3 linked regions of the Callithrix jacchus genome follow. The protein of the gene in region 3 purifies or fractionates together with the protein of the main gene of each other region. This does not show direct contact. Links are inferred from orthologs where the notes say so. Each region holds a gene or a part of one and is shown on either strand. Other genes may lie near its edges. The genes, in order: MYBBP1A, UBTF and SIRT7.

Region 1 (10,050 bases), about 69 Mb from region 3:
GGATTAAGAAGGCCTGCCTGGAAAGCTCAGGACACCAGCTGGTGCCTGCTAAGGGGCCGGAGTGATGTTTCCTTGGTGATAATTCCACTCATGTTGAGGCTGGCTTAGGAAACCTCCCAACATAACTCCCCAAGCCTTTCCTGGCTCCCCCCCATAGCCCTCATAGCCACAGGACCCCAGGCTCATGGCCCCTCCGTCCCAGGCCACAGTACCTTGAAGAGGTGGATGCCCACGAGCAGCAGAAGGTGCTGGAAGGCAGCAGCCCTGGGCTCTGAGGAGGGGGCCTCCAGCTCCTTCAGAGTCTGAAGCATCCTGCAGGGAGCCAGGCAGATCCCTCAGACCCCAGCTGCCATCAGACCACAGGGTCCTGCCAACCCCCCCCCCCCGGAAATCCCACCCGCTCACCGGTCCCAGGCCTGGCACTGCTGTGCAGTGAGGGGTGTCACAAGGCTCACGCTGTGGCTGTGGTTCAGCAGCAAGTCTGCAAACTGTACCAGGCGGTAGGTCCAGGGCTGCCCGCCCCGGGTCTGCTCTGGTGCCAGCTTAAACTGCGTGCTGAGGGTCTGCAGCAGACTGGGCGATGGGCAGGGCTTGGTCACCAGACCGATAAGTGAATACAGCCACCTCCCTCCGCCCTCCCCAGGGCTCGGTCTCCCACCTCTCCAGGACCTGCTAGAACTCCCTGGGCCTCGGCCGTTGTCCCCAGCGTAGGGGAACTGCAGGGAGCAGGCGTCCTGAAGACCTTCCCACTTTCGGACCTCTCCTGAGCCGCCCCAGGCTCACCTGAAGAAGGCGCTGCTGACGGCCTCTCGGGCCTGGCTTTCCAAAGGGAAGGAGAGCTGCTGCCTTGTCTCCGGGATCTGGGATGTGGGCTTCTTTGTGACGAAGAACGAGTGGAACAAACAAAACCTGGGGCAGGCGGGAGAGCAGCTGGTGCCGTTCACGGCCATTTGTTTCCACGGGCTCCCCTCCCCTGGTGGCACCACCCAGGGTTCAAGAACAGGAGGAGGAGGGGGGCCCTTCTGTCCCCTTCTGCTCTGGGTACAGTCCTCAGGGCCCTCACGGGCAAGGCTGGAGGTGGCTGGGCCAGGAAGGGCTGAATCCCCAGCTGAACATGGCTCAACCTGAGCTAGGGAGAGAGAATCAGTGCCCCTCTCAAGGAACCAAGAGATGTGAGGCTGTGTGGTCACGGCCGAGTCACGCCACTGCTCCTGCAAACATGGGGCCAGTGCAGCCCCCTCCTGCAACCGGGCATGCTGAAGGCGAGGTGAGCACCTGGCTCTGCTCGGGCACAGACGAGGCATTCCCTGGGCAAAGGCTCCCTGCAGGGCATGCACAGCACACCCAAACCTCTTAGGTGCCTGCAGCTGGGGTACCTCCTGGGTCCCCTCCCTACAGGCTCCTGAGGAATTTCCAAGTCCCCTTGTGCCTGCTCCCCACTGATGACTCAACCCAAAGGTTTCTGGCTCCAGAGGACACAAATCAGGACGAGTTGAGGGGCTCAATTCCTTGACCACATGCCTGCAGGAAGCTCCAGCACCTCTCATACCTGGCCACCTCCTCCGTCAAGGCCTCCTCCATCTCCAGGTACAGGTTGTCCACAAGGCTCACCAGTCGAAGGATGATCCATTTCCGCAGCCGGAACACAGCTCGCTTAGGCCTGGGGTGCAGGGGCGAGGTCATGTGAGCCACTTAGAACTGGCAAAAGCAGGCTGGGCCCAGTGGCTCACACCTGTAATCCCAGCACTTTTGGAGGCCGAGGCAGGTGGATAGCTTGTGGTCACAGGAGTTCGAGACCAGCCTGGCCAACATGATAAAACCCCATCTCCACAATAAATACAAAAATTAAGGCCGGGTGCGGTGGCTCACGCCTGTAATCCCAGCATTTTGGGAGGCCGAGGTGGGCGGATCACCTGATGTTGAGAGTTCAACACTAGCCTGACCAAGATGGAGAAACCCCATCTCTACTAAAAATACAAAAAATTAGCTGGGTGTGGTGGCACAGGCCTATAATTTCAGCTACTTGGGAGGCTAAGGCAGGAGAATCACTTGAACCTGGGAGGCAGAGGTTGCAGTGAGCTGAGATTGTGCCATTGTACTCCAGCCTGGGCAACAAGAGGGAAACTCCATCTCAAAAAACAAAAGGTAGCTGGGCATGGTGATGGGTGCCTGTAGTCCCAGCTACTGGAGAGGCTGAGGCAGAGAGTCGCTTGATCGCTTGAACCTGGGAGGCAGAATTTGCAGTGAGCTGAGATTACATGCCACAGCACTCCAGCTTAGGCCAGAGTGAGACTGTATCAAAAAAAAAAAAAAAAAAAAAAAAAAAAAAAAAAAAAAAAAGAACGAACTAGCAGAAACATGACATTCCTTTAACTGATCTCAAGAGACAGAAAACCAAGCTCTCCCCTTCCCAATTGCCAGTGCAGGACCTCACAAGGAAACCAAGGTCTCGTTTGAGAGCTATGGTGCTTCCCCTCTCTCTGCTCATGGTTTAGAGCCAGGACACCGAGGGCGGGGGTGGGGGGTGGGGGTGGCGGGATCGCTGGGCTCTGCAGGCTAGGGAAGCTAACTCCTGAAGGACAGGTCCTTTGCACGGTCCACTCACATGTGCTGTGATGCATCCTGAGCTTTCTTCGGGTTGTCGGTGCTTAAGTCAATCAAGGAGTCCAGGTCCGGCTGGAGAAACATGCCCTGCAGCCAGGCCACATAGCCCTGCAAGGCCTGAGGGCTCAGGAACCGCACGACCCGCCAGAAGGTAGGCACCACTGGGAGGCCGTGGTTGGTGGCGGAGGAGAAGGCCACCAGCACAGCCAGCTGCCGCTCAGGGTCGTCCCGGCATCCCTCTAGGAAGGTGCCCACGTACTCCTCCATCTCCGTGGCGAACTTGAACTGGTCTGGGAGCTATAAGAGTTAGGCACGGCACTGAGCCCATAAGCTTGCGGCCTTTAGGGTTAAACCGAGGCCCAGGGTCTCCCCTTGCACACAGCAGGGCTGAGCCTGAGCTTGCTCCATTCCTGGTCACGCCAGTGCTTCTGTCTGGCGTCAAGGCCTCCCCGGGTCTGACTTCCCCAGCTTCAGTGCCTTTGGCCCCAGAAGGTCCCTCTCGCCACATTGCTGGGTGGGGATGGCCCGTTTTCCTGGCTCAACGCACAGGCAGAGCCGTGGTTAAGAGGCTAGGCTGACCCGGGTTCAAGGCCTATGCCGCCAATTCCTCGCTGTGTCATCTTCGGGACCTACCCAACCACCTCTCACGTGCTGCCTAGGTGCCAGGACCCGTGCTCCACGTTTTGTCTGGCAGCTCAGCATCTTAGCAACCCTTTGCACTTGGCCATTACTGCCATTGTGTAGGTGAGTAAAGTGAGGCACAAAAACGTAGAATAAAACTTCTCAGGGTCAGAGGGCTCCCAGTGGGACCACGTCTTGCCTCACAGCCCAAGCTCTTCTCATTGTAATTTTCTCCAGTTGTGCCCCAGGAGTGCAGTGCCATGATCATGGCTCACTGCAGCCTCGAAATCCTGGGTTCACGTGATCCTCCCACCTCAGCCTCCTAAGTAACTGGGACTACAGCTGCACACCACTGTCCAACGCAGGCTCTAAATCACTGCCTGATGCTTCAAGTCTGCCCCCACCCAGAATGACAGCTCTTGGAAACTTGCTGCAAAGATAAAATGAGCTGCTGAGAACAGTAAACCCAGCAGTGCTGACTGGGCACCAGGCACACCGGTGCTTAAACACGGTCACGATGACTGTTCTCATCACCGCAACATGGGCGGGGGTGGAGGGAGGTCTGGCTCAAGTGGGGGCCCGCTCCTTTTCAAAACTGTCAGAGGGAAGCCGGGCGCAGTGGCTCACATCTGTAATCCCAGCACTTTGGGAGGCCGAGGCGGGTGAATCATCTGAAGTCAGGAGTTTGAGACCAGCCTGGCCAACATGGCAAAACCCTGTCTCTACTGAAAATACAAAAATTTGCTGGGTGTGGAGGTGGGCACCTGTAATCCCAGCTCCTCAGGAGGCTGAGGCACGATAATTGCTTGAACCCGGGAGGCGGAAGTTGCAGTGAGCACAGATTGCATCACTGCCCTCCAGCCTGGGCAACAAGAGAAAACTCCAACTCAAAACAATCTGTCAGAGGGGAAGGGGTTCAGACAGCTCAGACAGTGGACACGCCCAGGTCTCTGGCCAGGCCCTGAGGTGCCCTCTCCCCTTCTTGGCAAGGAGAGCCCCTGCCCACCTTGGCTGTGCACGTGTGCTCCCCGTAATGGCGGATCACGTCTCCCCGCATCACCAGCTGCAGCTGTTCCTTGGTCAGCAGGGGAAGGGCGGCGCCCAGCAGGCGGAAACACAGGTAGCTAAGAGGGAGTGTGGGACAGAGCATGGTCAGAGCCCTTGGTCCCCCGGCAGGGACATCAGGACTGGCGGCCCAGCCCCACTTCACAGACAGGGAAGGGGGCTGAGAGAGGCCACGTGCCACACGCACCTGGCTGGCCAGAACTGCAGCTTCAGCAGCCCCTGTTCCACCACCCCCTTCCAGAACCGCAGAAACTCGTTTTCCTTGAGTGCCAGGTGGAGCAGCTCCAGAGCGACAGTGGGCAGCTTGCGTTCCTTCTTCACGGAGGACGCTGCCATCTTTAGCACGTTCACCAGCCTGTGGGGGGCAGACGACTCAGGGAACGCTTGCCTTACCAGCAAGGGCCAGGGTGCCAAGAGCAGCCGGGGCACTTCCAGGCCACACGGCCAATCTGGGCTTGGCCAGATGCAGTCTTATGGCCCCAGAGAGAGCAAATTCATCCACCTCCCTCACACCTGGGAACATTCTCATCCGAAAATAGGTTGATGGATCCCACCAGCTTCTTGAGCCTAGAGGGCACCTTCTGCTGGGCCAGGAGGAAGAGCCCCAGCTGTTCAGGGCAGCTGAACATGGCATCCAAGTCAGTGCTGAGGACCTCTGGCAGCATCTCCTCCAATGTGGCCTCCGAGACCTAAGGGTGGAGAGGTAAGAAATGGTGGCTTCCTCTGCCGGGTGAGCCCAGTGAGGCCTCTTTTACCTGCCAGGCACCAGAGTCATCAGAGACCATTTGCTAAAATACTCAAATTCCTAGGCAGCTAGGTTTTTTGACAAGCACCCTGCTGATGCTAACTGGCCCGGAACTACCTGCCCTTTTTTTTTTTTTTTTTTTTTTGAGACAGAGTCTTGCTTTGCCACCCACGCTAAGTGCAGTGGTGTGATCTCAGCTCACTGTAACCTCCACCTGCCTGGTTCCAGCGATTCCCCTACCTCAGCTGGGATTACAGGTGTGCAACTCCATGCCCAGCTAATTTTTGTATTTTTGGTAGAGATGGGGTTTCACCATATTGGCCAGGCTGGTCTCGAATTTCTGACCTCAAGTGATCTACCCACCTCAGCCTTACAAAGTTCTGGGATTAAAGTTGTGGGCCATGGCACCTGGCCAGAGCTACCCATTACTCATTCCTGGTTTTGGGATTTCAGAGGACTAGCCCATTTTATACACAAGGGGCCCTAGGTAGACAGCTGGGATTTGAATTCAGGTCCTTTTGGCGCTGAGGTCAAGACTCCTTGGTATGCCCTGGTCTGGGACTTGCCAGCCCCTGCCTTTCTCTTCAGTGGCAAAAAGGCATAGGTATACCTTCCCAAGTTGGGCAGTGGAGGCCCACGAGGGACCAGCCTTGACCAGGACGGCAACAGCAAACGTTTTATATACCTGCCACGTGTCAGGTTCAGTTCTAGAGCGGCACTAGCCACATGGGGTTGCTGAGCGCCTGAAAGGCGGCAAATCTGAACAGGGATGTGCCGTGTAAAATACACGCTGGATTTTGAAACACACTGAAAAAAAGAGTGAAGATACCTCAACGATTTTTTTTTTTTTGAGACAGTCTCATATTGTCACCTGGGCTGAAGTGCAATGGTGCGATCTTAACTCACTACAACCTCTGCCTCCCTGGTTCAAGTGATTCTCCTGCCTCAGCCTCCTGAGTAGCTGGGACTTCAGGTGCCTGCCACCATGCCTGGCTAATTTTTTGTATTTTTAGTAGAGGCAGAGTTTCACCATGTTGGCCAGGCTGGTCTCAAACTCCTGACCTTGTGATTGACCCACCTCACCCTCCCAAAGTGCTGGGATTACAGGTATGAGGCACTGTGCCCGGCCAGCTCAACAGTTTTGTATACAAATGCATATTGAAATAATATTTTAGATATACTAAATGATGTAAAATGTTACTAATGACATCTGTTTCTTTTTACCTTTTTTTTTTTTTTTTTTGTGAGACAGAGTTTTGCTCTTATATGGCTTGGGCTGGCTGGAGTGCAATGGCGTGATCTTGGCTCACTGCAACCTCCAACTCCTGGGTTCTAACGATTCTCTTGCCTCGGCCTCCCAAGTAGCTGGGATTACAGGCATACGCCACCATGCCTGGCTAATTTTTTCTATTTTTAGTAGAGATAGGGTTTCTCCATGTTGGTCAGGCTGGTCTCAAACTCCCGACTTCAGGTGATCCGCCCACCTCCCAAAGTACTGAGATTACAGGCATGAGCCACCATGCCCAGCCTCTTTTTACCTTTTCAACAAAGTCACTGAAACACCTCAAATTATATGCCTTTATATTTCTATGGAACAGTGCTGTTCCTGATTCTCATCTGAGCCCTCTTGATGTCTCTGTAGCGGGAAGTGTCTCCAGAACCCGCAAGGCTGGTGAGCTCATACCTCGGAGAGAATGTCCACCAGGGCCTTCCAGGGCTGCTCCTGCAAATGGTTCTGGTACTGGGCCAGGGCCTGCAGCAGCTTCACTGACTTCCTCAGTGCCTCCTGGTCCTGGTCCTCACAGAGGGGTAGAGGGTATGAGCAGGGACTGCTACTGTCCCCCACCCATCCAAGGCCAGCCTACATCCCCTGGCCCTCCCAAAGTTCTCACCTTCACCAGCCGGCCTGACTGAAAGAGGGCGAGCACTCCGAACAGGTTTGCAAAGAGAGCAGGTCTCACCATTGACTAGAAGAGGATTCCAGGCACAGCATGAGGGGCCGTGGGACTTCCCACCCCCAGCCTCTCACCCCCGGGGCTGCTGACCTCCCCAGGCCCACTCTCACCTTCTTCACCTGATGCAGGTCATATTTTTCTTGCATCTGCTGCAGGATGCTGCACAAAGGGAGGTCTTCAAAAGACTGTAACAGCTGCCAGGAGGAACAGGGGCTCAGGAAGTGGCCCAGTACATCCTCACACCTCAACCTCCCTTCCTCCTTCAACTCCTCCCAAGAAGCCTCAGGTGCCTAGTCGCACCCCAAGAATGCCTCTGAAGCTGCTCTCAGGGAAACGAATCTTGCCTCCCTGCCACATCTCCACTCCTGTGGGCTTCCAAAGTACCGTCTGCAAGTGGTTCTGGGATTGGGACTGGACTGGGACGGGGCCAGGGCAGTTTTTTTTTTTGAGATGGAGTCTTGCTTCATTGCCCAGACTGGAGTGCAGTGTTGTGTTCTCAGCTCACTGCAACCTCCACCTCTCAGGCTCAAGCAATTCTTCTGCCTCAGCACGCACAGTAGCTGGGGATTACAGGTGTGCACCACCAGCTAATTTTTGTATTTTTAGTACAAATGGGGTTTCAACCTGTTGGCCAGACTGGTCTCGAACTCCTGACCTTAGGTGATCCACCCGCCTCATCCTCCCAAAGTGCTGGGATTACAGGTGTGTGCCACTACCGCTCCCAGCCACAAAAGTACCTTCTACAGCCCCTAGATTGCTCTGCTGAAATTCTCAGCCACTGGGTCTTCTCTCCACAGCCTGGTCTGAGCTCCACTCAGGCTGATCCGGCGAGCCTGCGTCTTAACTGCTCTTCCCCTTGTCAGGGCTCCTCAGAGAGTGGGCTACTCCAATCAGCTGAATGCCCCCTAAGGGAGCCCACCCCACCCAGCGCTCACTGCTCCCAGCAAGTGTACCTAAGAGTCCGGGTAACCCAAGCACCAGAAAGAAAACCTGCTCCGCTCTCCACTCCCTCTGCCTGGACTGCTTTGGAGACAGGCCCTGCTTATGCTTTCTCCACCTTCCTGTGAGGAGGCTCCCTCAGACTGGCCTCCAATCAGCTTACACTTCTCTCCGGGCTGCCCCTCCGCCGCGCTGAGACACCCGCCCTCCGCACACCCCACCGTTTTCACCTGCGTGGCTGGGATCCTGCCAGGAACACCACCTCACCTGGGCCAGGGCCAAACTGTAGCAGGGCCGGGCTGTTTCTCGCCCGACCCCGAGTCCCGTGATGAGCCGCTTCAGGGCGTATTTCATCTCGGACCCCTGCGGAACCAAGCGCATGCTCGCGTTGAACGGTGACAAGAAGCTGCACACCCCCGCGCACCTTGGCATCCAGGTTCGCGACCACTTGCCCCCATCCCAAATCCCTGGGCCCGCCGCCGCTTCCTTGCGGGAAGTGCGCGGCCCCTGCCCCAAACCCGCCGCCCCACCTTCGGCCTAGCGCGCAGATACTCCAGCAGCTTCTCCGTGGCCGCAAGTCGCGTCTCCTGCTCAGGCTTCACAATGTCCCAGAAGAAGTCCAAGAACTCGCGGCTGTGTTTCAACAGGCCGTGGCGGTCCGCAGGCCGGGCGCTGTTCTGTGTCGCGTCTCCGGACGACAGGGGCTCGGCGGGTTCCCGGCTCCCCATCTCCGCGACACTCATCCAAACACGTGTGCCCGGGATCCAGCCGCTTCCAGGTCAGGGCCAGGCGCATGCGCACTGGTTTTTTGAGTTGGCTCGGAGAGGGACCTGGGAGGGGCGGGGCAGGGGGCGGGGGACCCAGGAAGGGCGGCATTTCCGCCCTCGCTCTCAGCGGAAGTTCCTCGCTGCGCCGCGCGCGGTGGCTCCAGCCTTACGCTCGTGCCCGCTCTGCCCCGGTGGCTGGGGCATCTGCCCCTTTGGAGCCCCAAGGGGCGGTTTCTGAGGGTCCATCTCGGAAACAAACCGAGGTGCAGCACATCATCCGCCTCGTCCCAGGGTGGCCCTGCGCTCGGAGCCCTGAGCCATTCAACAGTTACTGGCTCCTGCTGTGCGCCGCGCTAGGCGGTTGGAACAAAGCTGCCGCTTTCGTGGAGGAAGACGGAGCTAAATACATTTAAAAAGATCGTGATTACGCCTGTAATCCCAGCACTTTGGGAGGCCGAGGCGGGTGGATCACTAGGTCAAGAGATCGAGACCATCCTGGTCAACATGGTGAAACCCCGTCTCTACTAAAAATACAAAAATTAGCTGGGCAAGGTGGCGCTTGCCTGTAATCCCAGCTACTCAGGAAGCTGAGGCAGGAGAATTGCCTGAACCCAGGAGGCGGAGGTTGCGGTGAGCCGAGATCGCGCCATTGCACTCCAGCCCGGGTAACGAGGGAAACTCCGCCTCAAAAAAAAAAAAAAAAAAAAAAAAAAAAAAAATCGTAATTATGAAGAGAACTGGGAATGCAGGGGTCAGAGGGAGCCTTTTCAGTGTTGGAACGTTAATACATCACCGGTTAAAAACACGAATGTGGAAAGTTGAAAAGTTCCTTTTAAAGTTTCTTTTCTTGTTAAGGAATAAGCTGCTAATAACTGTTAAGCTGTGGGTGTAAACCCGGCAAGAGCCAAAGCAAGGGCCTGAAGCCTCAGCACATTCTCATATAAATGTAGAATTAGTAAACAATCTTGCATGTTCTTCACATGTACCCCAAAACCTAAAATGTAATAAAAAAACTCAAAAAGAATTAGCGATATAGTTACATAGTTATATGTAATCATAATCATATAGCTATTCATATGTAAGCATAACTATATACAGATGTATAATCACGTAATCACATAGCTCTTCATACATAATCATATATACATGTATGTAATGGTATAATCTCTAATCTTACTAATAAGTCTCAGGAAGTATGGGACTGAAGTGGCATTGGAAAAGAGGTGACCCTAAGGCCAGATGCTCTAAGCCCTCTGTCACGCCCACATAGGGGTGTGATTTACATGACCCTTCACTGACCGTCATTACCTCATTCTACCTGCCCTTCCCCCTGCTTTGTAAGGGGGGTGAAAGA
Region 2 (10,050 bases), about 66 Mb from region 3:
CAGGTGGTTCAGCTCCCCATTGGACAGCAGTTCCTGGGAAAACTTCTGGTAACCGTTCCTGGGAGGTGGGGGTGATACAAGGAGGGTCAGGACCCCAACAAAGCAGTCCTCCAGCTCTGACCGTCCCCCACCCCCAGGGCAGGATCCAACCCCCAGGCTCACATGGGAGGCTTCTTAGGTTCTCCCTGGAATTTCATCTTCTTGGAAGAATTTGTAGCAGCTGGAGGTGCCCGCATCTCACTTAGCTCTCTCTGGAGGGAGAAAGGTCACACTCAACCCCAGTCCCACCCCCAAAATACTGCTGCCTTCTGCCCCATGCCATCAGCACCTTGGCTGGCTGTTTTTTCTTTGAGATGGGAGTCTCGCTCTGTCACCCAGGCTGGAGTGCAGTGGCATGATCCTGGCTCACTGCAACCTCCACCTCCCGGGTTCAAGTGATTCTTCTGCCTCAACCTCCCGGGTAGCTGGGATTACAGGTGCACGCCACCATGCCCGGCTAATTTTTGTATTTCTAGTAGAGATGGGGTTTCACCATGTTGGCCAGGATGGTCTCGATCTCCTGACCTTGTGATCCACCCATCTGGGCCTCCCAAAGTACTGGGATTATAGTCGTGAGCCACCGTGCCCGGCCTCTGTCTTTTCTGTGCCGGGGAGGAGAAGAAACAGGCACAACTAGTGAGCAACTTCCTAACAACTCAGGTCTCTGGCAGGCACCACAGTTTACAACTGTGCCTCCTGAGTCAGCCTGGGGGCTAGCATTGAGAGACATGGGTTCAGAGAAGGAAGCTGAGCCTTGCTAAGGGTAACAGATCAAGGCTAGGCCTTCTGGCTCAGAGTTGCCCACCCAAAGGGGAGCCCCCAAGCTTTTAGTGAATGGGGTGGCCCCAACCCCATTACTACCTCGTATCGCTTTTGGTCTTCGGCTGCCTTCTTAATCCACATCAGTTTCTCCTTCTTCTCCATGTTATTCCAGGTCATTTCCATGGCTTTCAAGGCCTTCACCCGGTCATTCTGGGGAAGGATAAGGGTATCAGCCGTGGGGTCACCAGGGGCTAAAGGCTGAAGTACTGTCCTGTCCCACCCCTGTTACCTTGAAGCGGGCCAGGTAGTCGCCAATGACGCTCTGTTGCCAGATCTCCTCAGCTCTCTTGGGGGACTCAGGCAGCTTACCCCGTTCCTCACGCTCCCCGCCAGGCTTCCTCTCCGACTGTGCCTTGAGCGCCGCCTCCCGGGCCTTGTACTTGGCCTACGGGGAGGGCCGGGACGTCAGCCTTCGGTCCACCCCTAGGGGGCGCGCGTTCCCCGTGCAGCAGCCGAGGCGCACCCGCGGGGCGGGCAGAGCGGTGGGCTGGTGCAGTTGTCTCCAGCCCAGGGCTCGCCCCGACCTGGCCCGTGGCGCTCAGCTGACAGCTTCCCGCCTTCCGGCTGCTGGGCGCCGGCCCCACATCCCAGCCCAGGCACCGCGAGGCCCAGGCGGCCAGGTGGCACGGACCGCCGAGGGGAAGATGGGCCCTGGCAGGCCCCCTGGGGGCAGCGGCTCTCTGCCAGGCAGGCTGACCTTCTTCTTCTCAGACAGGTCGTTCCACATTCGGGCCAGCAGGCGGGTCAGCTCGCTCTCTGAGAGCTCAGGCCGCTCCTCCTGCAGCTGCCTCCGCTTCTCCTCGGAGAAGATGAACATGGCCGAAACTGGCCGCTTGGGCTTCTCAGAGCCGCCCTGTCCAGGTGAAAAAGGTCAGGGTCCGTGGGTGCTGCCAGCGAGCCGTCTTGCCCACCCCCGCCTGCATGGCCGTGCCCCCTGCCCACCTTGCCCCCTTCCTGGGCTGGCTTCTTGGAGGCAGGGCTGGTGGCTGGCTTCTTGTTGATGTTCAGCATCTTCTCCTCCCCCAGGACCCGCTGCTGCTCCTCCTCGGGCAGGCTCTGGGCAGGAGAGAAGAGCATGGGGCTGCATGGCTGGCACCATGCCCTATAGGGCTGAATGGTGCCCTATCCCCAGGGGCTCACTAGGGCTCTGCCTGCCAAGCCCCAGTCCTCTCTGCCCAGTGCCCTACTGGAGGAACACTCACCTCGAGGAAACGGAGCAGCTCCACCTCGTAATCTTTCTTTTTCTGGGAAAGTGAGTGGAGTCAGGATCAGTCTGGAGACAGCGTCACCAGAGACCCTGCAGTACTCGGAGGACAGTGACCTTCAATGGGCCTCCAGAGCCTGGGTGTGGGCTGGACTCCCTGCCTGGATGGGCTCAGCTCTGAGCCCAGCCCAGCCCAGCCCAACACCCAAATGGAAGCAGGTACCTGAGGTATATGCCACCAAGAACTGACTGGCCCAAGCTGGGGTCAGACCTCATGCTTCAAAACCCCAAGGCAGGACGGCCCCTGCCACAGCTCACCTGGTCACACTTCTTGTGATAGGCATCCTTCTCCTTCTGGGACAGCAGCTTCCACTGCTGGCTGCACAGCACCATGCGCTCTGTGCTGGGCACGTCCTTCATGTTGGCCATGAGCTCTGCGCAGTACAGCGAGTAGCTGTTCCTATCGGAGCCGTGGGGGGAGAGGTGCAGCCCGTGAGTGAGCAGGGCGGCAGGCCTCCTCGCCCACAGAGTCCGACCCAACTCCCCAGCTACCCACTCGCCCACCCACCCCAGGGCAGCGCTCACGGAGGTGGCTTGGTGGGTCGCCCGTCAAACTTGTCCTTGAGCTGGCGTTCGGCCTTGGTAAGGGTGGACTTGGTGATACCCTCTTCACTGATATTCAGCTCGGGGTGCTTCTGGATATAGTCTCTCATGATCTCCTGCAGAGCCAGGTGGGGGGACGGAGGGCAACGTGGTGTGGAGTTAGCTGGGGCAGGGGTAGGGGGAGAGCCGCTGGGGAGGGCAGGCAGGGAGCAAAGCTGGGGGTGGCTGTGTGTCAGCAGTGTCACACGAGACGTGGTGCCCTGCCCTGCCCTAGCCTGAGATCTCATGGGGCGGGGGGTGGGGAAGGTAGGGGCAGAGGCAAGGGGCCCAGAAGGCCCCTCCCTCAAAAGAGGAATGGGGAGTGACACCTTCCGCAGAGTGCGGTGGCCACGGAGTCGAAGGGCAGAGGCTCGTGAAGAGCCGGACGGGGAGGAGCGCAGCGGAAGCCTAACCTCGTACTCCTTCCGCTGCTCCAGGGCCTTATGAATCCATTTCAGCCTCTTTTTGTCCGAGAGCTGAGACCACTGCTTCCCCAGGGAGTCCTTCACCTCCTTCGTAGTGGCCTGCAAACCAAAAGCCGTCAGACACGCACAAGCAGCCAGGAGTGGGGGGGGGGGGGAAGGGGGCACAGAGGCCCCCGCCCCCTCAGGCCATGGGAGGTCACATCAGTGTCCCCCACAGGCCAGGAGGGGAAGGTGGAGAGGCGGGGATCCCGCCTGGGTACAAGGGGACTGGCTCACACACGCACGCACGCACGCACACGCTCGCACGCCAGCTGGCCCAGGCCCTGTCCATGCAGCCCACCCTTGGGGAGGGGCCTCCTCTCCTGCTCCCCTGCACCGTGCCCAGCCGACCTGGCGCGGCTCCCCCCTGGCCACCACCGTGCATCCTCCACCCCCAACCCTTGGCCGGACACTCACATCTGGCCGCACTTTGAGATACACCTTCTTCTCGTGGGTGTACCACAGCTGCTGGGGGGTTTTGGGCTTCTCTGGGATGTCCGATTTCTTGGCATTCTGGATTAGGTCAGGGTGATCCTCCCTAGCCAGGACATGGGGAGCAAGGATCAGCAGGGGATGCTGCCAGGGCAGACCCAAGCTAGCTGCCCCACCCACCAAGCCTCCTTGGCCTTTCAGCTGTGGCTCAGTGGGACGGTGGCTGCCTGACTGTCCCTGCCCCTCTGAGCATGACACACTAGGGCTCACATGTGACCCATCCTTCTTCCATGCCTCAGAGACGGCAAACTCCAGGCTCTGGCCAGGGTTAGCCTATTCAGCTGTACCCAGTGCCCGTAGCCCTCCTCTGGGCTCCACTGCCTTACCTGAATCGGGCCAGGTTTCGCTCGAACTCCTGTTTCTCCCTCTGGAAGTCCTGAATATATTTCATCTGAGGGGAGGAGGGGATGGGGTCACCCAGGACCCAAGGATATCTCACCCTGAGCTAAGAAAGCCACCCAGACCCCTCCTTGTGCGCTCTCTGCGGCCTCCTATGCTGTGGTGCAGGGGTGGAGGCTGGCACCCTGCCCACCTCCCCGCGGGACTCATCACAGAGGAGACCTGCTGGCTTCTACTACAGATGGTGGGAGCTGCAGGGGTCACCCAGACATTAAATCCTACATCCTATTCTCTCCTTGCAAGGGAGAGTCAGAGAAGGGGGCCGTGGCATTACCCAGTCATGCAGTACGCAGTGGCAGTGCTGGCGCTCCCCCACCCATTTCTCCACCACCACAAAATACCCAGTGGAGTCAGGTGCAGGCCCTGCTCCCATCACTCTCTTATTGTCTGTGGCAGCTGACATTAGCCTGTACCCCTGGAGGTGGCCTCTACATAGGACCAGGGCTGGGCTGAGTCCTGTTTCCAAAGTATGAGAGGAGACTACTGTGTGGAGGGAAACCCAGAGTTCTTACAATACAAGCCACGGCCAGGAGCCCTGCGCCTTCCTGTCCAGTTCTGACACCATCACCTTCCTCCTTTTCTCCAGGATCCCAGCTGTCTGGATCCTCCAACCCTCCCTCCCTCCCTCAGCCCACTCATTCTCTCCCACCACTTGACTTCCCTTCATCACCCCCTTTTCAGCCTCACCCCCTTCCCACCCCCACCTCCCTCCCTCCCTGCATCCTTGCCCACCTCTCCATGGCCTCCCTCTTGTAATCCGTCTTTTTTTATTCCATATCTACCTCCTTTCTTGGCTCCCACATAATGTCTATCTCTTCTTTTGCCTTCATAGGCTCACAAGAGTGGCACTGGAAGGTGCCAGGAGCTCATGGCAATTAAGCCCAACCCCTGCCTCTTAGAGAAGCACCAGGCATAGAGAGGCAGCACCTTTCCCTCCAGTTCTCACAGAAAACCAGAAGCAGAGCTCAGCCTCCTCTTCCCCAAGCTCAGTCCTCCTCACAAAATAGTTTCAGAGCTGGAGGGCACCACACAGACCTGGCTCACCTCACATAAAGACCAGGCCCAGAGAAGCGGAGTGACTTACCAAAGACCCCATACACAGCGAGTTCAGAGCCAGGAGAACAGGCCCAAGTCTTGTGTCCCCCAGGCCAGCACCTCGTCCACTCTACCGGTTTCTTCTGGCTTTCCCTGGCTCTCAGACTCTTGGCCTCTCCCTCCCATCCCATGAGAGTATTTGGGTATGTGTGGTCAACTGTCCAACATCCTCATCAAAAGGGCCAAGAACAGTTCCAGCACTCCATACCCCTGCTCTGCTTGGGCAGAGGTTGCAGACAGCTGGCTTCTTTTTGGGTACAGCACCATGCGCATGTGAATCCGCAGCGAGGGTATGCCAACCAGGAAAGAGGGCTACTCACAGCGTGGTGGCTGCCAGCGTCATCTTTTGAGAACTGGCTGTGTATGACTTTGTTTCCTTGCCAAGCAGATGTGCTTCTTGTTTTTCCTGCTGTCATTCCCATCTATCCCTGGCTGTCTCCTCATCCAATGTCTCTTCCTTGGGTCCTCTCTCCCCATCCCATGTTTCTCGTGTCCTATCTGCAGGCTCCTCCAGTGTTTTGCTGCCTATCTCTAGGAGGGAACCCCTGAGCTGTGTGTGTGACTGCTTCTAGCCCTGCCTGGGAGGCCTGGGCAACCCCCTGCTCAGGGTTAATGCTTTGATGGTCTGAGACAGTGCCCGACCTCTGCAAGGAAGAGCATGAGGCCAGGAGGGGCAATGTGTGTCCTTGAGTGAACATGTGTGTGTGTGGAGAGGTGTACTTCACAGGTGGACGTGGCAGTAAGAGCACTGGCTGGGACTCTGGGACACTATCCTGCTATAGCATTAACAGTTGTGTCACTCAGGCCACGTAACCCTCCTGCACACAAAACTGGGATAACATTTTCCTGGGTTTCCTTTTCGAAAACACTGCAAGTATCAAATGAGACCATGACAGGAAGCGTCACAGAGAGGGAAGAAGTGCTGTGCAGCCTGACAGTGAGGATGGGTGGATGGGGGAGAGCCTTATAAAACAAAACACTGTGGGTTTTCTACAGGGGGAAAGGTTGGCCTGAGCACCTGCTGTCTGGTTTACGTCTGTGACGGTGCCCATGCCTGACCACTTGTGGGCTGAGGAAGGGGCAATCAGGTGTGACTGCCCAGGACCTACTCTGCTGTGCTGACTCACCTGTCCCCGATGCCAGGTCCCTCCAAGGCCTACCTCCAACTGACCCACACCACCCCAGCTGCTCCCAGCCTCTCCCCTCCTCCCACCTTAGCTCTCCTCCCCCCACCTTCTTCTTCTCTGGAAGCTCCTTGTATTTCTTGGACAGAATCTTGGTTAGGTCCAGGTTGCTCATCTCAGGGTGGAGTTTCGCATATTTGGCCCGCTTCTCCATGAAGAAGCGGAAATAAGGGGTCAGGGGCTTCTTTGGGAAGTCTGGGTGTTTCTGGAAGGAGGGACAAGGACATAATGGAGGTCATATACCATCTGTTATTTGGACCTTTCCTCCCCTACCCTTCATGCGCCTCTTTCTAGTAACTCACCTTGAGTTTTTTGCCTTTGTAAGGATTTTTCACGTGTTCCTGGGCATCAAGGATCAATTCTGTCAATGTACGGAACTTCCTCACCTGGAGGAAGAGGAGAGGAAAGGAGGGGAAGTTGAGAAAAGGAAAATGCCACACAGTAGCATATCCCTATCTTACCACGGGTACTCCCATCCTGAAACGGGTCTCTTCTACTCTTCACTGGACTAAAGTTACCAAAGAGCAGAGGCCAACAGCCAAATGAAGCAGGCAGCATGACACCCAGGCCCTGGCCCATGCCTACTGCAGAGGCCCAGGCAGTCAGTGCACACCAAAGGCCAGCAACAAGCGGACGACATGACCTCTACCTGGCTCTCCATGCCAGCACCTCCTTCAATCTCAGCACAGCTCAGGCTGTTTGGCTCAAGACCGATAGAAAGTGGCGTAACTCTAAGCCAGTGCTGTCAACCACACCACCTCCCAAAGTGCACAAGGGCAGGTAGAGAGCTAGCAGGCGACCACACAAACACCTCTCCTGGTCTCTTTCCTTCCTGTTTACAGCTGGCTATTTCACTTCCCCCCACCACAGCTGAGGTAGGTGTATGTGGAGATGTGTATACATGTGTGTCAGGAAGGGGATCAGTTACCTCGTTAGAAATCTCCACCCATTTGAGCTTGCACATGTCTCCAGAAAAGTCCTTAAATGCTACTTTTTCCCAGTCCATATGTGATTCGGTGGTTTTGAACTTGGAGCTGTCATTGGATGGAAGATTGTTCTTCATGCATTCCAGCAAAGTCAGCATGTCTTCCTGGGACCAGCGATCTGGTGAAGGGTAACAGAGGCCATCGTACCTGGCTCATGCTATCCCCCTATTCTGTTCCCCAGTTATTGAGTGCTCAACCCTTTTTCCCTAGGAAATCCCAGCCCCTGGTTGCTTCCCATCTGAAGGCAGAGATAAAACGTAACTCAGTTCTAAGCCAACTGTGGCCATATTGGATCAAGGCAGGGACTCCAGTCCAGAACATGCCATACCTAGAAAGCTAGGTTTGACTGGCAAACATGGTGAAACCCTGTCTCTACTAAAAACCCAAAAATTAGCTGGGTATGGTGGCACACGCCTGTAATCCCAGCTACTCATGAGTCTGAGGCAGGAGAATCACTTGAACCTGGGAGGTGTAGGTTGCAGTGAGTGGAGATGGTACCATTGCACTCCAGCGTGGGCAACAAGAATGAAACTCCGTCTCAAAAAAAAAAAAGCAAGGCTTGAACACAAGTCTGGCTTGCTTCAAAGTTATTATCATTTCTCCCGTGCCAGGCTGCTACCAGCAGCTATTTATTGTAAGGGAAGAGGAGTGGGTATGAAGGTATAGTGATTCAGGGCTTTGTGGGAAACAGGTAGCTTGTCAGAGAAGGTGGGAAGCAGGGAGGCAATATACCTAAATGTGTGGCCAAGCTCAAGTTCCGAGTTTAGGATACCCTAAATATGCAAGGACTGAGAAGGGGGTGTGGGCAGTAAGGAAAACCCATGCAGATGTCTGCGCTGCACAGATGGAAACCAGTGTTAGAGACACCTCCACCCCCAGGCCCCTCAGCGTAGATCAAGGAAGAATTTCTGGCAAACAAGAAAAAGGGAACAGAAACAGAAGCAGCATACAGAGCAGCTCTGAGGTAAGGGAGGCAGGTGCACAAAAGCTCTCAGGGCCCTGCTCCAGGGAGAACCCCCAGAATAACAAGCTGTGTTGTCAGCCCAACTCCCCAGGGAAGCAAGACCAGGTCTGGACTAGCTATTTTCAGCCACGGAAATGCAGCTCCAGAGAGCACTCTAGGCTTCTGCGGATGGGCTGGGAGAATAGCCACCCAAGGCCAAAAGTCAAAAGGGCTCCTCTCCATTTTCATTTGCATCTCCTAACCTGGGCCAGGGTTTCTGCAGAGCAGGTCACATGGACCCATAATCCCCTCTCCCTTCAATATCCCCCAAGCATGGCCAGCTGCCCAGCTTCATCCTACCTTCCAGCCCCATACAGACTTGATCACTGCTGAGTGAGGCAGAGGTCTAGGTGAGTACATATAGCCCATGGCTTGGGGCCTTAAAACACCTCTTTTCTCCACCTATCTCTATAAAAGCCTCATCGTCTTAATAAAAACCCTGAGACGACTTCCCCAGCCCCTTCCTCTACACTCATTCTTCCTCCCATCCCAGGACACTGAGACGGGACACACTTCAGGCTGAATGGGACCCCAGAAGGCATGCCGCCTCAAACTCAGGGGATGAGGGAAAGGAGAAGTGAGCCATTCCAGGCCAAATAATTTGAATTCAACCACACCTCAAGTGTGGGAGATGCTTGATTCATCAATACTTAAGGCACTTTCTTGCCCAGTTCAGAGTATGGAGAAGCCCTTGAGAAGGGAGTGAGCCCCGCAGCCATGAGAAAAAGAGGATTTAACTTTCAGAGGGCTGGGGATGAATGCCCCTACCTTGGCCTTTGGGAGCGGCCATTTCCAGGTCTGTGGGGCAGTCGGCTTCTCCGTTCATCCTCCAGCTGTCCAGCCACCTCCTTGGTCGTGCTGGCCGGGCAACCCGGGGTCAAAACCACCTCACCCTTTGGAAGACATACCAGTTCCCACTCAGGCAGGGTAAGAGGTGAATGACTTTCTATCCCTCCCCTCCCAGAGTGGAGAGGGGCAGGTCCACACTCTCAGAGTCCCAACCATGACCTTACTGGATTTAAAGGGTCTGTGGGAGTGGGAGTGAGCCCCTCCTCTGCTTCCTGACCCCCTCCCCCAAACCCTGCAGCCCAGCTCCGCGGCGCGCGCCCTCCTCTGCCCACGCGAGAGCCTGCTCCCAGCTCCCGCGTGCAGCAAGCGCCCGCCCTCCGCCCTCCTTCCCCAACCCTGGCCAAAAAAAACTCCTCCTCCTCTGAGCGCCCGCCCCGGGGAGGCCCCAGGCTGGAGGGCGGGGGAGGAGGAAGGGCGGGTAAAGGGCGCGCGCGACCACGGAAGCGGGCACGCGCCCCAGTCTCCTCCTCTCGCCTCCCCCCGGCCGGTTCCCCCCGCCTCCGCAACCCGGCGGGGACCCGGACGCAGCGCAGCCGCCGCCAGCCCCGGAGCGCAACGGCCGCACCGCCCCCGGGGACCGGATTCGGATTCCCACCGCTCCCCCCTCCCGGGCTCCCATCGCCTTCCCCGCCCGCTCAGGCGGGCGAGCAGCTGGAGAGAAGCGGCCTAGCCTGCCCCCCGCCCCGAGCCACCTACCCCGGCCAGAGGCGCCGCCGCCGCCCAGCCACCCCGACTCGCACGGAGGAGCCCGGCGCAGAGGCGCGACCGCGGCGGGAACCGCCGCCTCCTCCCCCGAGCCTGCGGCCCAGCCCCGCCGGCGCCCCCGCCCTGGCCTCCGGGGAGCCGAGCCAAGCAGAGGGCGGGAGGACGG
Region 3 (10,742 bases):
GGCGGGGCAGCAGTGGCCCCAGGGCTGCCTCCGTCTCCAGGGATGAGTCACTAGCAACTCTGGGCCCCACCTTTGACTTGTAAGGCCAGGGGCAGGTGGACCAGACCCTCTCCCCTTTCCCAGCTGACTAGGGAGGCGTGGCCTACAGACGACACCGTGAAGAAACCATGTGTCTTACTGAGATGTAGAACCACAGATCATAACTTAAGATACAGATAAGCACTGATAAGGAAAATGAGCTAAGTTAATGTAAAAAAAAAAAAAATACAGTACACGATAGCCCACATCACAGAACACCACACACATAACATACAAGAAGTGCCAGGCCCAGAAGGCGAAGGGATCCTTAATTCTTGAACCCTTTGATTAAAAGAAGTTATTGATTTCCCCTATAAGACCCTGAAAATTCACAGAGAAAGAGAGTGTAAACTTTTTACTCAATACATACACCAAGTCTAAATTAGCACAAATTCTGTATTAAAGCACAAGTTTAAGCTTTCCCAAAATACGCCAACTCCCAAAACCAAGCACAGATTCTGTCTGACCAGACTGCTGAGTGCACGTCCCCTCGAGACATTTCCCACCAGGCATCTCAGAGAGCTCCATGGGGAGGCCTGGAGCAGCAGCATGCGGGCAGAATCCCTCTCCCCTTAGGGATTCTGTGCACCATCAGCTGGCGCACGAGTGGCCCATGCATAGTCTCGGCCAAACACCAAGGTCAGGCCCTCTGGAGACCACCACGCCTCAGTCACGCCTCAGACATCGCTGCGAACACCTCAGAGCCTCCTCCACGCTCAGCTCATGAAAGAAGACAGACAAGGCCCAGCACATGAGGTGCGGGTAAACGGGCTGCTGCGGAGGCCCACTCACCTGCTATAGGCAGGGATCTCCAAGCCCAGCTCGGCCATGAGGAGCCGCATAACGTCATCACACTTCCCATGTAGCTTCAGGGCGGCCCAGTCATCCTTTGGGGTCCACTGAGGACAGGGAAAGCCAAATGAGGGTAAAAGCAGCCCAATCCTTCCTAGTGGCTTGTCAGCCTCGGCCCAGGTGGCCTCGGTCGTTGCTCCCTGAACACCCACGGGGGACCCTATCAGACTGCCCTGGTGCATGGGTGTCTCTGGCTCTGCATTCTAAGGCCCAGGTCCGAGCATGTGGCTCTCAGCACCCGAGATACCTGCAAGTTCACAATGTAGAGCTTGGGCCGCCGGCTAGGAGGCTTGGTCATGCACCAGAGGCGGGGGTACTTCTTTAGAACCTGTGGGAACAGACGGACAGACACAGCACACACACAAGGGACAAGGCTGTAGAGTGCTGGGCTGCAGAGCTGGACACCCTTGGGCAGGTGGGGGCTCAGCTCATTCATGGTGTCGTTGGCACGCACCTTCAGGCTGGACCCCAGACACAGGATGGTGTCTGCTCTGCTGGCAGCCTCAGTTGCCGCCTCCCAGTTCAGAGGCTGCCCCAACGTCCCCCTCTCCCCAAAGTGCACAATTGTGTCCCGGAGCTGGGCCCCACACTTGTGGCAGGTCCGGCCTGTCTGGTGTCTGTGGAGAGCGGTGCGCTCCGTCACATCGAATACCCGAATGTACTCCCTGTTGGGAACGCAGGAAGTGCAGACCTGAAGAGGAGAGGGCACAGTGAGTGGGACCCGCCTGCCCGTGGAGTTCCCGGGTCCCCTTAGGACTGCTCACTTCAATGTACATGTTCCCGTGGAGCTCTGAGATGGCCGTTCGTGGCAGCCCGCTCCTCAGGTGGAGCCCGTCACAGTTCTGAGACACCACATGCTGCACCTGGAAGGTGGAATGGGAAGGGCTGTCAGAGGGTGGGGATATCAAAACAAGGCCACAGAGAGGCTGTTCTGAACCCAGCTGATGGCTCCCAAGACCAGGAACAACTCCAACCCCACAGAGAGCCTTTGAAAGTACAACACACAATAGGACCAACCACCAAGACTCAAGAGGGCCTATGGTGGGTGGCGCTGTGCCCTTCCCTCCAGCCCTGATGCACCCAGATTGGCTGGGAGGGCAAGAGGCTGTACCGTCCCAGCAAGGTTGGGAAGTGGCTTGGGGCTTTGGCAAGGGTCACTTTGCTCTGGATCCATGCTCTTGTGGGTCATGATGTTTCAGGTCCCTTCGGACCCAAGCAGATCAACCCCTACCGGTGCCTTGGTTGAGGGTGTTCAGCAGAAGGTCCCCAGAGAATTCCTACAAGCCTCCCCTGTGACTAGGATGGCTTCTGAGATCCACAGAAAAATGCAAAGGAATCACAAAGGGGAAAGGCCACTGGCACCTCTGGGTCTGAGGCTGGCTGTGGATGAGATGGTTCAGAGGGGGCGCTGCCCTTCTGTCTTGGAGAGGAAGCAGGGGGAGGATCCAACCCGGGGTCTAACCCACTTGGTGGGTGCTCATCATGGGAGTCAAGCGGTAGACAGAGGCAGGATGCAGTTGTCCACTGAGCACCAAGATGCTCTGCCAAGTGTACCAGCCGCCTTGGGCTCTTACCAGCTTCTGTTCATGCAAACGGGTGATGCTCATGTGGGTGAGGGTTGGCTCAGCCTCGCTCAGGTCAGCAGCACTACCAGGCGGAGGGAAGGCAAGGTGAAGGGAGCTGGAGCTCAGGCCCACACTGCCCTTGCTCAGCCCATGTGGGAGGCCACGCTTGGCCCACTTACCTAATACTTCTCCCTTTTTGAAGCAGCGTCCACACTCCATTAGGGCCCCTGTAGTCTGGGATAGAGGCTGCCTGCATGTCAAGAAAAAAGGCAAGCCAAGTAAAGGCACCACTGTAGGTACTGGCAGAATTCCCAGAAACAGGGAGCCACTGTCCCTCCTGCTGCATCCGGGCTGGCCTGCACGTTGGCCTCTATGCATTCCACAGGCTGACCAACCTGAGCCCATATGGTGTGTACCGCAATTTGGCCCCTCCCTTCTACCTGGACTTCCATTTCCTGCCTGGCCCAGCTTATCCTTCCAGGTTAAACACAGCCCTGCCTGTCTCTGGGAGCCTTTCTGGCACCAAGCACAAAGCTGGGCTCTGTGGCACATGTGTCCTTCACATGGCAGGGGAAGACAAGTCATGTTCCTAAGCATCCCCAGGGCCGAGCCCACAGCTCACACATTTAGCAAATGGTGAATCCCTAGGTGGGGGCAGGCAAATGTCCATTCTCATATCCAGATGCTAAGGGTTCCTGCTCCACCTTAACAAAAGCAGAACCACCTCTCCAGATGAGATAAGCATCTAACTTCCCAGGTTTCCAATCCTGTGAAACAAACTGAGGCCCAGAGAAGGACTGAGAAGACATGCCAGGATAAAGGTGTCTTGTGTTTCCTACTGGGGAAGTCATCTCCCAACTCCTGCTTAAACTCAGAAACACACACCCGCCCTGGACAGCAGTATTCAGACAGTCACATTCAAGAGGGGAACCTCAAACAGTAACATGAAATCCACGAGCTGCATGTGCTCTCAGTTGCCACTGGAAGTTCTCTGTAAGAGGTCACATGATTGCTATATAATTATATTACTGGACTTTTTTTTCAAGATGGAATTTTGCTCTTTCACCCAGGCTGGAATGCAGTGGCAAGATGTCGGTTCACTGTAACCTCCACTTTCCGGTTTCAAGTGGTTCTTCTGCCTCAGCCTCCCAAGTAACTGGTATTACAAGCACCCGCCACCACGCCTGGCTAATTTTTGTATTTTTAGTAGAGACAGGGTTTCACCATGTTGGCCAGGCTGGTCTTGAACTACTGACCTCGTGATCTGTCCGCCTCAGCCTCCCAAAGTGCTGGGATCACAGGCGTAAGCCAGCGCGCCCAGCATGACTGGACTTTCACACATGACTGTGGCGGTAGGAGACCCAAACCCCAAGGGCTCCAGGTATCTAAGTTAGCAATGAACTCCTTTTCTGCATTCTTGCTGCTGAGCTTCTATTATTATTTGCTTGTAGTGCCTCATTCCCACCTTCTTTTCTTCAAGGCCCAACTCATGGCCACCTCCCACAAAAAGCCAACACAGATGGGTTTCTCAACTCCATGAGGACAGTGTGTTTGTCTGGGTTTGTTCTAGTGATCTAGCACAGCCAGCTTTACCTTACAGTTGTTTGTTCACATGCCTGATTCTTGTCATCTAAACGCTTCCTGAGAACAGAAATCACCTGGCGTTCAGATCTGCTATACCCAGGCGTGCCTAGCACTCCATGCTCACCCATTAGACTCGATGGACAAGGTGCCAGCTACATTTTCGAAGCTAGTGATGTCTCACAGCCCAGGAGAGCTTGTCAGTGAAACTTCTCAAAACGCATTGCAATTCTCTCCTTTACCTGGTATAGTCCGACTCTTACTGTGTCACTTTCTTTTTATCTTCCCTCAACATGCAGAGAACAGAGTGGAGAATCACAAGACAATTTTGGGCTTAGCTCTGTCCACATAACCTGGGGGTGCCTGAGAGCAGTTGGCTACTACATCCCATTCATATCTGCTTTTTTGTTTTTAACTGGCTGTAATAGAGGCCAAGCATTTAAGAAGTCTTTACCTTAGGTAAGTTTTGGTCGTTTCGTGTTTTTCTAAAAAAGGAAAAAACCTTAGAGCTGCTTTAAAGATGAGTTTTTCACGATTGGGGAGTTAACCAACTGGAGCGCATACACCGTCCTGGGGTCCACCTCCCAGAAGGGGCACCCCCCACCAATCCCTGCCTTCCTCCCTACCGTGCTGATTCCCGCGCCTGTGTAAACGACCAAGTATTTGGCGTTCCGGATGGCGCTGGCCAACTCCCGGACTTTCCCCCGCAGCTCCTCCGGGTCGTCGCACACCTGTCGAGACGCCAAGGTGGTCACCGCCCCGGGTCGCTCCACCCTGGGCCGTCCGTCGCCCCAGCTGCTCCCGAAACCCGAGGCGCCCGCGGCCTCCGCGCGCTGCACTCACCTCTTCCTGCCGCCGCTTTAGGCCCTCACGCCGCCGGCTCCGGCCCTGCAACTCCGTCACCAGGTCCCCGCTCTCGGCCAGCAGCCGGACCTCCTCCGCGCTGCGCTCCACCGCCGCCTTCCTCAGGATGAGTGACACCTGCGGGCAGGCGGGCGGTGAGCGGCAGCGGCGGCCGGGCATGGTGGGCCGGGGAGCGGCGGATGCGTACCTGGCGGAGGCGATCCCGCTGCTGCTCCTCCCGCAGCCTCCGCACCCGCTCCGCCGCTTTGCGCTCCGAGCGGCTCAGACCCCCAGCTGCCATGGCTCCCCTGGAGACCCGCGCTTCCGCTTCCGCTTCACAAGGCAGGCCGCTCCCAAGGCGCATGCGTGAGCCGGGCCCCCAGGCCCCCCCCCTTCCGGCCCCGCCCATTGCGTCACTCCAAAGAAGCACCTGTCGGTCTCTTTAAAAGGTTTATTGATCATATACAAAATAAAGAAAACCTTATATATCACAAACATACACTATATACAGCAATAAATACCCGGGGGGGGCAGGCCCAGTGCTGCCCCTCCTGGACAATAATTTAGCAATAAATACTGCGCAGGGCAGGGGTGGGGCACTAAGGCCACTGCCCTGCAGGTCAGGCCCCTGCCCGCCCTACACGAAGTGTGAGCTCTCGGGCCTCAGCCCGCATCCAAACCCCAGCCCCTCCTCACTTAGATCTTTAATAACCTTTATCCCACCCCAGCAGATCCCGAGGTCCTCTCCCACACACAGCCTACCCTGGCTAGACCTAGACAGGGCAGGCAGGGACTGATCAACTCTGCTTGGACCCACCTCTCAGCGCCAGGAGAGCAACAGGGCTGGACATGCGGGTAGCCCTTGTCCTGCTGCCCTAAGTTGCCAGGAGAAGGCTTTCTGAACCCACTCCCGTTTGGTTAAAGGCTTCAGGGACTAGCAGATTGAGGGATGGGAAAAAGGGCAGGGCTGGGACACAGGTTGCTGGAGGGGCCTAAGCCCAACTGGGGTCACCAAGAACAGGGAGGTCTCACAGTTTATAGGGGACACACTCTCACACTGTATCTCAAACTCAAGGGACACCCATGGTATCAAAGCTGCTGCTCCAGGGGCAGGGTGGAAATGTGTGGGGGACTGGTCTGGCAGGTGTAGCACCCGCCCAGGACACAGGCCAGAGACAGGCCAGGCATCGGTCTCTCAGACACACCCTGCCTCTGTGTGGCACTGATTATGCACTCCACTCTCCCCACCTGCTCCAAGGCCAGACAGCCAACAGGAAGGCAAAATTATGCCAAAAGAATTATTCAGTGGCTTCTGGGGGGAAAAATCGTTAATGTGTTGGTTCCTTTCACCAAACCACAGCCTAAAAAAGTAACACAAGATCCCAGAGCGGAAAAGGTGTAGCAGGCCGAGGCTCAGACTTTCCAGATGTGGATGGAAGCTTTGGTCAAGTGGCCACTCCAGAGCGGGAGGCAGCAAGGACAACATGGAACCTTACCATAGTACCAAAGCAGGCTGCAGCTCCTCAGGGCTGTGGGCTGGGCACTGACTATTGAGGCTGCTGCTGCTGCTGCTGGTCAGAAGTATGCACACATATCTGAAACATGCACCAAGAGCTGAAGCCCCAGCAACACCAGCACCACCCGGAGCAGCAGCCAGGGCCTCACTCTCTGGGTGAGAGCTGACCTGTCCCCACCAGGCATTTCTCTGAAATCTGAGTATCCATGTTAGGGTAAGGGAGGAGTTGGGGCAAAGTCAAGGTGGAAGGGAAGACATACATCACGGTTTACTTGGCGGACAAGTTTGAGAGACCTGGCCTTGGCCATAGCCCTCAATTGGCTGTGTCAGAAAAGCTGAGGTGAGAAGAGGCCACCACCCTTTTCTCAGTAGGAAAGCGGGATGAAGCTATCAGAAGGACAGCACACTCACATGTGCACATGAACACAGCATCTATGTCAGGAAATCCCAAGGAAGGGGAAGAGGGATGGAGTGGCTCCACAGGGCTGGCCTGACAGGAGACAGGAACACTCCCCTAGACCTAGGGAAGTCGCTCCAAATTCAAAGCTCTTGAAAGGAGGTATGGCCTCAACACTCCAGAGGCCTCTTCTGCCAACACGTCAAGGACTACCCCTTCCATTCAGCCTGCGCCCACCCTCACACCCTCCTCTTCTGCACTCCCTTTGCCTCCAGGTCTGCAGCCTGGCAGAGGTGCTCAAAATGAATGGCCACCCCCAGCCAGGACAAAAGTGGGGGCCACACAGGGACAAGGAGGGCCTGTTCCTTCCTGCTCCAAGGCAGATCATGACATTTTCTTCATAGATACTTTTGATATGATTCCAACTAATGCCTGGATTCTAGTTAGACAAAACTAGACTGAGGAGAGGGGGATGAAGTCACTAAATGACTAGAGTCAAGATTTCGATTTTCAGGCTGGCCTAGGTAGAAACAAGAGTTGTCTCTGAACACCTACAGCAAAGAGAAGCTCATTAAGACAAATGTTGATGGTACATCCCTGTTCACATCTCACAGGCACACCAGGCCAAACTCTTGGATGAAAATCCCACCACCCACAGGGTTAAGCCCTGTCGGCCACAGTTTTTCATCTCACCAGCCCACATTTCTGTGCTTTACAGGGGACTGGGCCCCATAGAGAAGAAACCAGCAACCCTGGTGAAAGGTCAAAGTTTACATGGCCAGACACAGGGCTGTACTCTCTTGGGGTGGGGACACCTCTCCCCATCATATGCCTACCAGGAGCCTCCTGAGCCTAGCCGGGAAGGGCAGCAGCCTCTGTCGAGGAACTGGGAGCAAGAGGCAGGCTGGGCCCCCAGAGGGAGGCACCCCCAGTGAAGCCAAGCAGCTGATCCCTGGAAGACAGATCCCAAAGGGAGGCAGAAGGAAGGCCTGAAGCCAAGTGCTGCCAGGATGGACCAGCAGAGAAGAGGGATAAGACCCAGCCCTGGAGATCGTAGCCCTTGTCTGCACTGGTGGAGCCACCCACCACTCTGCCTGGAAGCACCCTGCAGCATGGAAACAGTTCAGGGATCAAGTGGGCGGTGGAACCTGCAGCCCACGGTGCGTGCCCCTGGGGCTCCCAGCTGAGGCCCCACGTGAAGAGGCCAGAGGAAGACAGCCAGGGAACTCCTGTGGCCACCCACAGTGACTCCTTGGTCCCTGCAACACCACCACCCAAGGCCAGAGGTGGTGGCTGTGGAAGCAGCGTGGGGGGGCCCCAAGGGACCCCCAATGTCACCTACCCCGCCACAGGATCAGCCCCAGCCCTAAACATAGATGTAGCCAAGGTTCAATGGGGTGAGCGTGACAGAGCCCCACGTCTCACCTCCTAGGGATCAGGGACTGCTGGTGGGCACAGACTCCTTGAGCTCTGACGAAGCAGGTACCCCCTGGCACCCCAGCCCAGGTCCAGCAAGCCAGCAGAAGCAAAAGCACAATGAAACCCAAAAAACGAACACGGAAAAACAGACACAAGAAGTGACACCCACAGGTCAAAGGTCACCAGAAGCACCAGCACTTTACCGCTGCACAAAACCTCACCAGGCACGGACAACACCACGGCACCGGCAAGAGACGGAAGCAGGAAGGGCAGAGGAGTAAGTCACTTTCGGTACAATTGCAAAAGATATCAAAGAGGACGGCCTTCTGGTCGGTTCACGGCTTGGCTTTTTTTTTTTTTGTCTTTTTTTTAAACTAAGTTTTATAAATAATGTCCGATAACTCTGTGTATATAAAAACTAAATTCCAACAGCCACAAAGAGTTGTCCATAAGTTTACAAGAAAGGGATTTTTTTTTTCTTTTTTAACTAGCAAAGTTTCTATTATACTTTCTTCCCTTTTCCATTGATATGGTCAAATGGTCTTCTTGCTTTTTTTTTTTTTTTCTAAAAGACAGTTTTATAAATACTCTGCAGCTTTTTTCTTTAACTTTTAAACATATAATTAATAACTTTGTAAAAGGAACTTCTCTCTTTTAAATAAAGGGCTATATAACCACACAAATAGGTCATGTAAACAGTGACACGGGACCCATCGCAGGGCACACTGGACTCACCCTCACGTAAGCGCACAACCAGCGATTTGGTCTTGTTCAGTGCAACGGGTCAGGCTTGAGCGCGCAGTCCCTGGCCCCAGCTGCAGGCCCCAGCACCACTGCGCCCAGGCCAGCGGTCTACTCATCAGGGCCCTCAAGGCCATGCCGGCTCTCAGAGCACAGCCCGTCTCTTCATGCTGGGCTGAGCTGAGTTGCCCTCCTGGGGCTAAAGAGAGTGAATCCTTCCTAGCCCGGGAGAACACATGGGAACCCTCACTGCTCAGGGACACGCGAGGCCCAGCGTGCCTGCTCCTTCTCTCTCCCTGCACTTCTCTCAAGTCCATTCCCACAGCACCAACTCTGGGCTCCAAGCCTGCATGGCCTTGGTACAAAAGGGGTTGGGGCGACCCCACATCACCACCGAACTGACCAATCCCAACATACAAAACACACGACGACAATGACGAGATCAAAGGGGCTCAGCCTGGTGCCCCTGGGGTACAGGTTGTGCTTTGCAGGGAAGAGAGAAGGGCAGGGAAGAGAGGGAGGAAAGAGAAGGAAACAGAGGGACAGGGCAGCCGAATTCGCCATGTGCCTAGTGGCCCCGCAAAGACCCGCCTGGGCAGATGCGCGTCCCTACGATCGGGCATCCGTCTTGGACTTTACTATTGTGATGACACTGGTGGCGGCCACCTTGCCTGGGACAAGGGGCCCCAGGCCGGCGGCAAGGGGGCCCCGGGCCGGCGCCACGGGGCTGCGAGCCACCGTCCGGGCGAAGGTCTGCAGTGCCTCATACTTGGAGCGCAGTGCGTCGAGCTCTAGCTTCATGCTGGCGTTCTCCGAGGCCAGCTTCTCCACCTCCTGCTGCAGCTCTGCCTTTTGCTTCTCCAGCTCCTCCTTTTGCGTCACCCGCTTCACACGGCAGCTGGCAGCGTAGCCGCGGTTCTTGAGTGTGCGCCGGCGCTGCTTCAGCTGGACGATCTCCTCCTTGGACAGGCCCCGCAGGTGCTGGTTCAGCTCCCGCACCGACATGGTCACCAGCTCCTCATCGGTCAGGCTGGTGCCATTCTCACCTGGCTCCCGCTTCACCTGGGCACAGCGCACAGGGTCACAGGTTGAGCAGGCATGCCCACGGCACCACCCCAGCCTGAAGGCTCCCTGTCCCTCTCCACTCACCTTCAAGGCCTTGTTTCCTTTATTGGGGGTCGTCATAACCCGGGGGCACAGTGAGCAGGCGCTTTCTGCAAGACACAGAGCAGAGGTCAGTACCCTGGAGACCACCCTCACCCCCACCCCAGTTCACAGAGCCCCTGCCGCACAGCCCGCCCCAGTCTCTGCCCGGGTGCCCAGGCCCACTACCTGATTGGAGGCAGCCCTTGGCCTCTCCCAGGCTTGGCTGAGCTGCTTCCTGTTCACCCTACCCCTAGAGAACCAGGTGGGCAGTCAGGAAGGTCTAATGGGAGAAGGGGAACTGAAGGCTGTTAGAGAGGCAAAAGCAAGACAAGGGGCAGGGGAGAGATTAGAAGGAATATGACTCGGGTGGGGCAGGCCTAGAAGGAAGCCGGGAGCTTTAAAAATAACCCCAGCACTGCCCCAGAGCACGGCTGTTCCTGGCGAGTCACGCTGACTCAGCACATTGCCTCCCGCTCCCCCGCGGCGCCCGCACTCCCTGGGCCCGCCAGCCAAGAGTGCCCCAGGAGAGCTGCAGCGGAGCTGCTGGGGGCCAGAAAGGCCAGCCCGGCCAATAGCAGGTGAGGGCCTGCCAGGGACCCTGTGC

What was found.
Region 1: the proteins of SIRT7 (region 3) and MYBBP1A purify together in Homo sapiens (affinity purification with western blotting; 3 studies listed by BioGRID, with this or other methods). This does not show direct contact. The link is inferred for Callithrix jacchus from reciprocal best matches to the Homo sapiens genes SIRT7 and MYBBP1A.
Region 2: the proteins of SIRT7 (region 3) and UBTF purify together in Homo sapiens (affinity purification with western blotting; 3 studies listed by BioGRID, with this or other methods). This does not show direct contact. The link is inferred for Callithrix jacchus from reciprocal best matches to the Homo sapiens genes SIRT7 and UBTF.

What each region holds. Positions count from the first base shown.
Region 1 is NC_133506.1:68,225,670-68,235,719, forward strand, and holds the start of MYBBP1A (myb-binding protein 1A), read right to left. Parts: upstream 8,711-10,050; 5' UTR 8,673-8,710; coding exon 8,460-8,672; intron 8,293-8,459; coding exon 8,197-8,292; intron 7,185-8,196; coding exon 7,101-7,184; intron 7,003-7,100; coding exon 6,928-7,002; intron 6,834-6,927; coding exon 6,720-6,833; intron 4,980-6,719; coding exon 4,804-4,979; intron 4,646-4,803; coding exon 4,478-4,645; intron 4,350-4,477; coding exon 4,232-4,349; intron 2,902-4,231; coding exon 2,606-2,901; intron 1,661-2,605; coding exon 1,550-1,660; intron 910-1,549; coding exon 784-909; intron 574-783; coding exon 406-573; intron 313-405; coding exon 213-312; intron 1-212. UniProt on the Homo sapiens protein: May activate or repress transcription via interactions with sequence specific DNA-binding proteins. Repression may be mediated at least in part by histone deacetylase activity (HDAC activity).
Region 2 is NC_133506.1:71,061,529-71,071,578, forward strand, and holds part of UBTF (nucleolar transcription factor 1), read right to left. Parts: intron 10,017-10,050; exon of another isoform or gene 9,876-10,016; intron 9,446-9,875; exon of another isoform or gene 9,344-9,445; intron 9,224-9,343; 5' UTR 9,157-9,223; coding exon 9,099-9,156; intron 7,446-9,098; coding exon 7,270-7,445; intron 6,728-7,269; coding exon 6,644-6,727; intron 6,547-6,643; coding exon 6,391-6,546; intron 4,055-6,390; coding exon 3,990-4,054; intron 3,710-3,989; coding exon 3,589-3,709; intron 3,232-3,588; coding exon 3,121-3,231; intron 2,785-3,120; coding exon 2,651-2,784; intron 2,526-2,650; coding exon 2,384-2,525; intron 2,106-2,383; coding exon 2,064-2,105; intron 1,918-2,063; coding exon 1,804-1,917; intron 1,715-1,803; coding exon 1,559-1,714; intron 1,247-1,558; coding exon 1,091-1,246; intron 1,012-1,090; coding exon 901-1,011; intron 252-900; coding exon 163-251; intron 59-162; coding exon 1-58. UniProt on the Homo sapiens protein: Recognizes the ribosomal RNA gene promoter and activates transcription mediated by RNA polymerase I (Pol I) through cooperative interactions with the transcription factor SL1/TIF-IB complex.
Region 3 is NC_133506.1:137,510,257-137,520,998, forward strand, and holds the start of SIRT7 (NAD-dependent protein deacetylase sirtuin-7), read right to left. Parts: upstream 5,230-10,742; 5' UTR 5,221-5,229; coding exon 5,128-5,220; intron 5,058-5,127; coding exon 4,920-5,057; intron 4,808-4,919; coding exon 4,703-4,807; intron 2,746-4,702; coding exon 2,675-2,745; intron 2,578-2,674; coding exon 2,505-2,577; intron 1,794-2,504; coding exon 1,695-1,793; intron 1,622-1,694; coding exon 1,385-1,621; intron 1,259-1,384; coding exon 1,178-1,258; intron 978-1,177; coding exon 871-977; intron 400-870; exon of another isoform or gene 314-399; intron 1-313. Other genes in the region: transcription factor MafG, read right to left, coding at 9,602-10,054, 10,142-10,177. UniProt on the Homo sapiens protein: NAD-dependent protein-lysine deacylase that can act both as a deacetylase or deacylase (desuccinylase, depropionylase, deglutarylase and dedecanoylase), depending on the context. Specifically mediates deacetylation of histone H3 at 'Lys-18' (H3K18Ac).